Sus scrofa: one gene and its partners. The protein of the gene in region 1 binds, or shares a complex with, the protein of each later gene. Links are inferred from orthologs where the notes say so. Each region holds a gene or a part of one and is shown on either strand. Other genes may lie near its edges.

Region 1 (3,285 bases):
CTGGCCTCCCGGGGCTAGCGCGGCCGCGGCCCCTGGACCAGGCTCAGCCTGTTCTCCCGCGGGGGTACCTGGCGGAGCCCTAGCTGAAGCCGGAGTGGGAGGAGCCCCGGGGAGGGCGTCGCTCTGCGGGCCCCGCCCCTCCCAGCCTCCTAGCGGAGACTGGAGGAGACCTTCCGCTCGCAGAGACTGAGAGCATGCAGGACGCAGCAGATGCAGGAAGAGAGGGCGGAGGCTGCATGGGTCTCAGGTCCGCGGACGCGGCGCCGCTCCCTCCCGCCTCCAGGCTGTGCTGCAGCAGCCAGCGGGGGTGGGAGCCCCGCAGGAGCGCCGAGGAGGTACCTTGGCGCGGCTCAGCAGCTCCGCGATGAGCCGGATGGACTGCAGGTTGCGCTGGGCCAGCAGCAGCTTGCGCTCCTCCAGCCGGATCTTCTCCTGCAGCTTCCGCTGCTCCTCGGCCTGCAGCTTCTCCAGCTTCTTCTGGCTGCGCCGCAGCTCGCGGTCTCTCTGCTTCTGCTCACGCCGGCGCAGCTTCTCCTCCCGCTTCCGCTCCCGCTCCTGCTCCTCCAGCTCCTTCTGCTTCCTGTGCGGGACGCAGGCACCAGGGCCTCAGCGGAGCCGGCGGGGACGCCGCGGGAAAGACGACGTCGCAGCGTCTCACCCCCACGTCCAAGTCCAAGGACGTTAAGGAGCGCAGAGGCGCATGGGGGCGGGGCGGGGGCCATCGCCTTGCGGGGCAGAGTCTGGCTAAGTGCGAGCCCAGCCCGGACTCCATGGGGAGGGGGTACAAGACATTGGAAAATGCAGCTTGGAACAAGGCCCACCCCCGCTGGTGGGCCGCACCTGCACAGGACACGCTGCCTGCCCCACACAGCCCAGCCGCCCAGTGGAGTGGCTGCAGAGGACACAAACGAGTTTCAGGGGCGGGGGCGCCCCTGCCCCAGATGTTCCCACCGGGGACCGTGCCCACAGGAAGGCTCTGCCAGCACGGAGCCAATGGCACGACCCTGCCGCGGGATGCTGTAGAACAGGCAGACCACGGTAACAGACACCCGACCCGCTTTGCTGGGGCCCGTCCCTAAAGAAGGGGGAGCGGTCCTGACAGCAGGACAGCTCACACCACCTGGGGACACCCTGCGAGGTCACCACGGGCACTACCTGCAGGCAATGACTGTGCCACACGCTTACACACCACACACACCGGCTTGGACCCTACCATCCTTTCTGGGGGGGGGTCCCCCAGATGAGGATCGAAGGCCATCAGGATGGCTGGAGACCCCAGGGAAGGTGTGGAAGACCAAGGGGCGTCACACTGTACGCCTGCCTCCCGAGTGCTGGGGCTTTTGACTTCTCCAGGAACCTGCAGGGCGGGGTGGGGGCGGAGGGGCAGAGCCCCCGGCTGCTCAGGGCAGGATGCCACCTGGGGGAGCCCTCTGAGGCCATGGGGGCACACGGCTGCCAGGGGTGCTGGAGCCCCGGAACCAGCCAAGCCCCCACACAGAGGGAAAGGCCGGCCCAGGCTCACGTGGGAAGCAATGAGGGTGACAGCAGCCAGAAGGCCACATCTCTGATGGTCCCTGGCACCAGGGGTCCCCTAAGAGCCCCAGAGCGCCCACGGCTCTAAACTGTGGCTAAAGGCCAAGTCCAGGAGCCTGACTGCGGATCCAGACTGAGCCCGAACACCCAGCACCTCACCCGTGACAGAGGACAGACCCGGAGGCTCCCCAGGCCTGCCCGGCTCCGCCTCGCGGCCCTGCCACCTCTCGGCCAGTGTCATCCCAGGCGGCAGCAGAGGCCACGCCACCAGCTGTGAATCCGTGTCCTCAGCACACCTCGGGGACCCATCTGACCCTCTGTCCTCAAAGACCACTCTCGGCCCAATTCCCTGCCCTCGTTTCTCCACCAAGCTCGAGGGAAGTGTCTTTAACGGGACCTCAGAGCTGCTTCTGGAAACGCCGTGGGGCGTGTGGCGGGCTCACGACGCCGACAGCACAAACTGCCACAACCCGAACCTCGACGACGCCCTGATGAAGGAGACGGAAACGCCGAGGGGTAACGTCTGCGATTCCTGGCCTGCGATCAAGGGCCATCTTGGGGACGCGAGGACAAGGCCCGTTGGGGACCCGAGCTGGGGGGCCTGGACGTCCCTGAGCCTCGCCCAGGTCGAGATGCAAACAGCCCTGTGAGCGCCGCCGCCACCGCCGGAGGACAGCCACGCGGCACGCACACCCTCGGCTGGCCCCACGCCAGCCTCCCTGCGGGCTCCCGATCCCCGGCCGGAGCCTCCCCGGCCAGCAGGCCGACCCCCTGGGGACGTCCACCGGCTGCGTCAGGAGCAGCAGCACGGGCTGGACCCTGACCCTGGTTTCCCCACCAACTGCAAGGACACCTCGGCACCTGTTCCTGCCGGCGGGGAGAAGGGAAAACAAACAGGAAGCTGACAGCCCCGCGAGTGAAGTCGGCTCAGCCAAGAGGTAAGTGGAGAGGCTGATAGGGAAGGAATCGGCCACAAAAGTCCTAAATCGGCCAGACAGAAGCCCTGCCCGTGACACCTTGACACCCACCCACCCCCACCCCCACGCCAAGAAGCACCCAGGGCACAGCAGCCGTGACGGGACAAGGACGACTGTTCCTTATCTCCTGGAGCCCAGGGAGTCTCGCTGGGCAGACGTGTTTACAACCCAGATACACCGCCCGGCCAGGGAGACACGGGACCTGACGCTGCCTGTGAACCGCAGTCCCCCCGAAGGCCCTGAAAGACACTTGCTTCGAGCCCGCCCGTGCCGCAGGGCCTCTACTGCTCTTTGGGACGGCAGCTTCGGCCCAAACACAACCCCTGCAAAGCAGCCAAGGCTCTGCCAGTCTCTGCAGGAGCCCTGCTCAGCCCTGGGCGGCTCGGAGGGAGGCCGGGGCCAGGCAACCGGGCGGAGGCCGCCGCCCACGCAGAGGGGTCCGGCTCACCCGGCCAGCGCCTACCTCTCCTCGGCCCTCTGCCTCTCCTCCGCCTCCTTCTCCCGGCGCTTCTGCTCCTCCCGCTGCTGCTCCAGCTCCTGAAGTTTCTGCCGCTCCAGCTGCCGCTTCTTGATGGAGGCATCGCTCAGGTGTTTGGTGGAATCGAAAGAAACCTGTAGGGAAGGGCGCAGGGTGGAATGACCTGGAGGGCTCCTTCCGCACACGAGGTGGATGCCCCCTGACTCATTTCGGAGAGGGGGCTCCCGGGCCCCCCCGCACACACCTGAGTGAAGGTGCGCGTGGGCCTGACGCCCCAAGCTGAGCTCCTCCCAGACT
Region 2 (3,401 bases), on another chromosome or scaffold:
AACCCACACCCTTATGGTTACGAGCCGGGTTTGTTATCGCTGAGCCACAATGGCAACTCCACCATCCCCATGGAGAGGTGAGGAAACTGAGCCTTGGGAAAGGGAAGGCACAAGGCCATGGTCCAGAGCACAGACCAGAACCCAGAGGCCCTGGCTCCGAAGCCCTTGCGCTGCCCCTTCAGAGTCCGCCCCCGACCCTGCCGGCCTGGGGCAAGGGTTGCTCCAGGCACCTGGAGGCCTCTGCTGTACTTACGCTCGGGCTCTGGCTTCTCTGTGTCGCCCACTCTCAAGGGTCGGGCTTTGGGCTCTTCTTTGTTTCTCCGTATGGGAGCATTGAGCTCCTCGTGGTAAACTGGAGCGAAAGAGACCAGAGGATGTGTCAGGCAGACTCTGGGAACCCAGGGACCCCACGGCGCTGGCAGGGCTGCCTCCCCAGGGACGAAAGACGCTTACATCGGTTGTGCTGCACGTAATTCACTGCCATGTTGGTGGGCACGAAGGATGTCTCGCTGTCCTTCTTCTTGTTCTGCTGCTCTGCCAGCAGGCGGGCCTTGGCATCCTCCGTGGAAATGATATTTTTGATTTTAGCGCTATGGGGAGAAAGGAGCCACACCCCATTAGATGGTCCCAACCTTTGGGCCTCAGATGGAACTCTCTGGAGGGGCTGGCAGCCCTCCACTGCCTGAGGATGTCACCTGCCTTGGGGCACAGCACTCTACAGTTTACCAACTCCCCCTGCAGTCACATTCTCATGGAGCTCTCGCGGCATCGGAGATGCAGTTCCTCTCTGCTGATAGAGAGAAAGCTGGGCCAGAGAGGTCACGTGATCTGCCTAAGGCTCAACACTGGTAAGGCCACAAGGGAGGCAAGAAGCCAGAAGTTCCCAACTTTCTACCACCCCCGAAGATGGTTCTGACCACTGCATTTCCTCCACGAAACCCCCTTTTAGAGCAGATGTTCTACACTAAAAATGAAAGGGGGATCACCGGTGGGTGAGCCTTTGTCGTGGCTCCTGCTAGGATGAAACAGAATACGAGGACCCGATCAGAGGCGCTGAAGAGCGGTGAACAAAGGCTAAATGAAAACAAACACTTTTGCTTCCGGCAGTCGGGGTCCCCTGTCTCTTTAACTACCCTGACCGACCCTTCAGAGAAACGCCTGGCAACAGCCAGCTCGGGCTGCCAGAGAGAAGGCGGTTTATATCTGCGGGTTTCCAAGGGGACAGGTGAAGAGACAGTCCCCCGAGCTTTCAACGGGAGCCCTTCTGCCTGGGAGGGGAGAGAGGCCGGAGCCGGGCTCGGGAACGCACTCGATGCCGAGGTCCACCTCGGGGATGCCGCTCAGCATCTGGTTGGACAGCATCTCCTCCGTCCTCTTCGCTGAGGAGACCCGGATGTTCTCCGGCAGCTCGTAAAGGCAGTCCTCCGCGTTCTTCGGCTTGACTTTCTGTTCCTCGTGTTCCACGATCCCTTTCCTCTTCTTTAGCTCTGTCTCGATGTACTTCATCCTGAAAGGAGAAACCCACAGGCCTCAGGGAGGGGTGGAAAAGCTCACGACTGGTGTCTTTTTTTTTTTTTTTTTTTGTCTTTTTAGGGCTGCGCCCGCGGCATATGGAGGTTTCCAGGCTAGGGGCCCAATCATAGCTACAGCTGCCAGCCTACACCACAACTACAGCAACGCCAGATCCAAGCCGTGTCTGTGACCTACACCACAGCTCAAGCAGCGCCGGATCCTTCACCCACTGAGCGAGGCCAGGGATCGAACCCCCAACCTCGTGGTTCCTAGTCAGATTCATTTCTCTTGCGCCACGACGGGAACTCCACATCTTTTAAATTAGTGTCCCTGACACCGGCCCACCGAGCAGGGATGGTTAATGATGAAGTTTCATCGTTCCATGGAGAAGCAAGAAAAATCCAAATAACTTGAGTTTTTCAATCAAGCTAAAAATTTCCAACTTAAAGCACCAATTTACATCACGAGATTCTGTCCCACCACATACGTAAGGTTCTTTGAAGAGGAAAAGATACACGGCAGACGGTAGGTAGTTATTTAACATCCTTGATGGCAAAATAAAGAAATGGGCAAGTCCAAAGTTTGTCCCTGCACTTTGATGGGGGGGTGAGGGGTTATTACTACTCAGGGAATCTAAAATTCCAAGAACCACACTTTTAAAGAATTTTTCGGAGTTCTTCAAAGTTCTCAAGCCTGGGGTGGGGGCAACGCTGCTGTCTCTGGATAATTCTAGAAGTGTCCCCAGTGACTAAACATCTTGGACGGTATCTGGCTGGAGCCCACCCCCCATTCCCTCCCTGCTGGCACCTACATGTCGGCGTCCTCATCCCTTCGGTTGGTTTCAGCGGAAAACGACGTCCCCAGATGGAGATCCTCCTCTTCGCTGATCCTACAAAAAGTGAGGCCGAGCCTTAGAGTCGCAGCTAAATGAGGCTGAGCTGGACGGGAATGAACGGTACGCGTAAAACAGGCACGCGACAAAAAGCACAACGTCCTGCTTAAGGTTAGAAAACACATACACATACATAGCACATAATACAGAAACAGGAGGAACTCCAGAAATGCACGCAAGCAAACGCTGGGCCTCTGGAGATGCCTCAGCGGAATGGGTAGATATGTTTATTTTTCACTTTCGTATTGCTTGTATTATTTTTGTACTTGTGTTTCTATGTTTTTTTCTTTCTTTCTTTTTTTGACTGCACCTGTGGCATGCAGAATTTCCCAGGCCAGGGATCAAACCCAAGCCACAGCAGTGACAACACCAGATCCTTAACCTGCTGAGCCACTAGGGAACCCAAATGTTTTTCTTTAAAAGAAAAACAACTTCCATATGAGTTGGAGAGACCATAAACAATGCACCTTTACAAAAGGTGTCTAGCCATGTTACTCTAAGTGAACCTTTGGAGCTTTTGTTTTCTTTTGTTTTTAAACAACAGAGCGTTTACAAAGCACAACGGTACTTCAAGATGTCCCATTAAAGATGCTGCAGGCCCTAGAATAACACAGACCCAGGCAGAGGCTACAGGTGAAATTGCATCTCAGCCTGCCTTGCACTTACTTATCTTTGCCTCTTTCTTTTAGTTTCTTCATGTCCACCATCCCACCTGTCTTCATCTGAAAGGGATCATCCTGCAGAAAGCAAACAGAGCAGGAAGCATCTATGTAACTGGCAGGGCAATTTTTTTTCACTTTTGTCTTTTCAGGGCTGCACCCATGGCACATGGAGGTTCCCAAGCTAGGGGTCCAATCGGAGCTGTAGCTGCCGGCCTACACCACAGCCACAGCAATGGGGGATCTAAGCCACATCTTCGACCTACACTACAGCTCATGCAACGCCAGATCCTTAACCCACTGAGCAAGGCCAGGGATCGAACCTGCAACCTCATGGT
Region 3 (3,647 bases), on another chromosome or scaffold:
TGTCGTTACTACCGCAAAAAGATTACGACTCCCTGAAGGCGCAAATGATGGCTAGCATTTTTTTAGCAATAAAGCATTTTTTAATGAAGACATATACATTGTCTTTTTAGATAGAATGATATTTTACACTTTGCAATACTCACTTTACTGTGGTGGTCTTAAACCAAACTCATATCTCCAAGGTATGTTTACACTGTACAAAAATATCTCCCCTCAACATAGCACCTGCAATCCTAAACCTTGTTGTGAAACATTACAACTGACCTACAAGTTATGTGCACTGCTGAGATCATAGCTTTCTTTCTTCCTCTTTTTTTGGACATCCCGTGGCATATGGAGTTCCTGGGCCAGGGAGCAGATCTGAGCCACAGCTGTGGTGATGCTGGATCCTTTAACCCACTGTGCTGGGCCAGGGATCAAACATGTGTCCTGGTGCTGCAGAGATACAGCCAATCCCGCTGTGCCATGCGGCAACTCCAAGATCACAGCATTTTTTTTTTTTTTTTTTTAGATCACAGCTTTTGCATCAGAAAAAACTATGAAGATTCCTCACCTGGGTTGATGATCTCATCATCCTCACTGAAGGTCACCCGTGAGTTCTTCCTTTTCCTCTTTGGTCTCTGAATGTCCAGATTCCCCTCCTCAATGGTGAGAGTGGAAATACGCTTGTTGTGGGCAGTATTGAACTCTGTCAGGTTCTGGGCCAGGGTTCACAGGGGAAAAACAGGAATAAGTACAAGGGAATCTGAAGGAGACTGTTACCAAACAAAGAGCGGGAAGGTCTCAGGAGCTAACCTGGACCTTTCCATGCAGTTGAAATTCTCTTCAGCACTCAGAAAAGACTCATCCCTGTCCCTAGACTCTGATACCAACAAGCCTCACTTGACAGAATGTGGAACATCTGCAATGACTAGTGGGATAGTGATATTCAAAAGGAGGTGAAGGGCCTTGAGCTAAAAATAGGACATCTGTGCAAAAACCCTGGAACTGAAGTTTTGGGTTTTTTTGAAGAAAGGTTATCATATCTTCATGCTGAGAATTAAAGGAATGCAACTGAGAAGAAATCCCTGAATTGTTTTTAAGTGAAAAAACAGAGATGAGAAGGGACAACTGATAGCTTCTTTCCCAGTAGTTCTCTCCTTTAAAACTTGTAAGGACATTGCCAGGGCACTGAATATTTGGCATTAATATCTTGTCACTTCCCATCACTGCATCTGGCCCCATTTCTATTCATAACTATCCATCCATCTCAATGATTAACTTGGCCTCAGCACTGCTGCCTGCCTCTTCCCAATCCCCTGGACTTAATCCAATCTGCACTGCAGTTTGAGATTTTCCAAATGTCTTGAGAACAAGGACCCAGAGATGACCTAATATACTGAACTAAAAGAGGAGAAAGAACAAGAGTGATTGCTAACAAGGTCCCTGGCTATGAGGCAACTCCCTTAGAACAAAATAACTTTTAAGTTGTAAGATTTCTATTGTGCTTTTCTCCCAAAGGGCTGTGAAACTGCCTCGGTGTACAAGGATAGTAAATGCATATGGGCAGTTAAAGAAAGGCTGACATTTGATCTACCTGGATACAACCAGTCACATCAATACAGTGACAGATATGTGAAGACAACAGCTACATCACCAACTCCTAGGATCTGCCCTAGAAGAGGAAAACCTTAGCACATTAAATTTAAATCTTGTAAAATTCATGGCCTTCATGGCAGCCAGGCCCAGAGCAAAAGTAGTCTAGTTTTATTCAGGAGATTCTTGGGCTGACAATTTAAAAAAGAGCTACATAAATGAATGAAAGTTTCAATCTCTGTAAGCGAGTGCTGTCCAATCAAATTTTCTGGATGATGGAAAGGTTTTACTGTTAGTGCTATTCAATATGGTTAGTCACTAGCTACAAGTGACTACTGAGTACTTAAAATGTGGTTAATGGCTACTGCACTGGCCAGTGCAATTCTGTAAAGACGTAACTCCCAGCCTTGGCTTCTAACATCCGATAGACAACCATGAGGGTCTACTGGCAGGAAATCCAGTCTCCTAGTTAGCCCTGGTAATGCACAGCCAAACCCACACAATGCAGCTCTCCAAGAGCCACACCACACTGCCAAAGTGGCAAAGGCCTGTTACTGGGCTCAAGAAAATCTCCAGCTGCTAACTCACTGGCATTTCAAGCTACACACCACAGCTAAAAACTGCAAAAATCAGAGTCCCAAAAGACATGACAATGACATAGAAAGAGAATTACATCAAGCTCTGTTTCCTCCTCTGGAAGCCCCAGTAAGCCCTTGAGTTCATCATCCTCTCCACCCATCTTCTCATCTCCTTTCACAGCCGATGGCAATGTCTGAGGCTTCTCTCGTAGAGTGTATGCCCTTGTGGATGCACCAAATGAGACCGTGGAATCGATGGGAATTTGCTGAGGCTTGTGAGGTTCCAACCGAATGTGACCCAAGAAAGTGCCGTGTGCTGGGAATAACCAAATCAGAAATGTAAGAGAGGGAAAAAATAAAAAACTAACCTGAGTTGTAGAAGAGAGAGCAGCTCCTCCCAGCACATCAGTTTTGCTTTTTAAAATGGAAATGGCACTGGGTCCACTTTGCATCCCTTGTCATGGGTCACAATGAAAAGGAAACTCCTTCACTGAATCTTGAATCTCTTCAGCAGATTTCTTACACATCTTCACACCTGCTGTTACCCCACATAACAAATACCACTGCTTGCGCTCTGCTGCCAGACAGGCTTGGATCCATTCTGGGTCCAGAAGGAATGGCTCCAACCCAGCAAGAGCCATGCCCCCAAGGCAGGAGAGAGGAATTGCTATGGTCTGACCTCTCTAGCCCAAAGTCTAAGGAACATAGGAACTGCTGGCCTGGCGGCCATTATGTTTGGGTTTTCCCCAGGATAAGAAAGCAAGCTGGCAGAAACAGGTGCAATGTCAATGGCAAGGGAAGCCAAAATCCCACCGGAGAGTCTGAATATTTGTCCATGTCTGCATTCTGCATATTATGAAATGGAGAGAAAAGATGAGATAAATTTGCAAGTAAGTACTTCTGAGACAAGGCTCTCGAAAACCATTATTATAAGCAGACTGGGGTGATGTGTAATGTGTGTATGTGTGTGTGTTGGAGATGGGAGGAAGAAGTAAAATATGATCAACCCAGGAAGCAGATCCTTTATATTTTATGCTATAATTATATGCAGGCAAAATGAACACACTTCAAGGCCCCATGCAGTAAGTCTCAGTTGCATTTTTGGGACTACCTTTGACAAACCTGAAAATCTTATTAGTTGGTGTTCACAGAAAAATTTTTTTAAATATATTTATTTATTTATTTGTCTTTTTAGGGCCACACCCGCAGCATATGGAGGTTCCCAGGCTAGGGGTCCAACTGGAGCTACAGCTGCCAGCCTACACTACAGCCATAGCAACACAGGATCTGAGCCGCACCTGCGACCTACACCTCAGCTCATGGCAACGCCGGGTCCTTAACCCACTGAACGAGGCCAGGGATAGAACCCGCAACCTCAGGGTTCCTAGTCGGGTTCGTTAACCACTGAGCCACGACGGGAACTCCAGAAAATTTATGTTATTAGTAGTCAAAGCAAAATGTAGCTGGGGTAAAGAACCCATTATAAAAAATTAA

The links.
Region 2: AKAP17A (region 1) and C1H9orf78 share a complex: the UniProt entries of both Homo sapiens proteins name them as parts of the spliceosome. The link is inferred for Sus scrofa from reciprocal best matches to the Homo sapiens genes AKAP17A and C9orf78.
Region 3: AKAP17A (region 1) and PPP1R8 share a complex: the UniProt entries of both Homo sapiens proteins name them as parts of the spliceosome. The link is inferred for Sus scrofa from reciprocal best matches to the Homo sapiens genes AKAP17A and PPP1R8.

Annotation. Positions count from the first base shown.
Region 1 is NW_018084901.1:899,235-902,519, reverse strand, and holds part of AKAP17A (A-kinase anchor protein 17A), read right to left. Parts: intron 3,123-3,285; coding exon 2,974-3,122; intron 581-2,973; coding exon 340-580; intron 1-339. UniProt on the Homo sapiens protein: Splice factor regulating alternative splice site selection for certain mRNA precursors. Mediates regulation of pre-mRNA splicing in a PKA-dependent manner.
Region 2 is NC_010443.5:269,989,101-269,992,501, forward strand, and holds part of C1H9orf78 (uncharacterized protein C9orf78 homolog), read right to left. Parts: intron 3,142-3,401; coding exon 3,071-3,141; intron 2,402-3,070; coding exon 2,324-2,401; intron 1,508-2,323; coding exon 1,310-1,507; intron 591-1,309; coding exon 454-590; intron 353-453; coding exon 254-352; intron 1-253. UniProt on the Homo sapiens protein: Plays a role in pre-mRNA splicing by promoting usage of the upstream 3'-splice site at alternative NAGNAG splice sites; these are sites featuring alternative acceptor motifs separated by only a few nucleotides. May also modulate exon inclusion events.
Region 3 is NC_010448.4:84,976,639-84,980,285, reverse strand, and holds part of PPP1R8 (nuclear inhibitor of protein phosphatase 1), read right to left. Parts: intron 2,470-3,647; coding exon 2,249-2,469; intron 699-2,248; coding exon 554-698; intron 1-553. UniProt on the Homo sapiens protein: Inhibitor subunit of the major nuclear protein phosphatase-1 (PP-1). It has RNA-binding activity but does not cleave RNA and may target PP-1 to RNA-associated substrates. May also be involved in pre-mRNA splicing.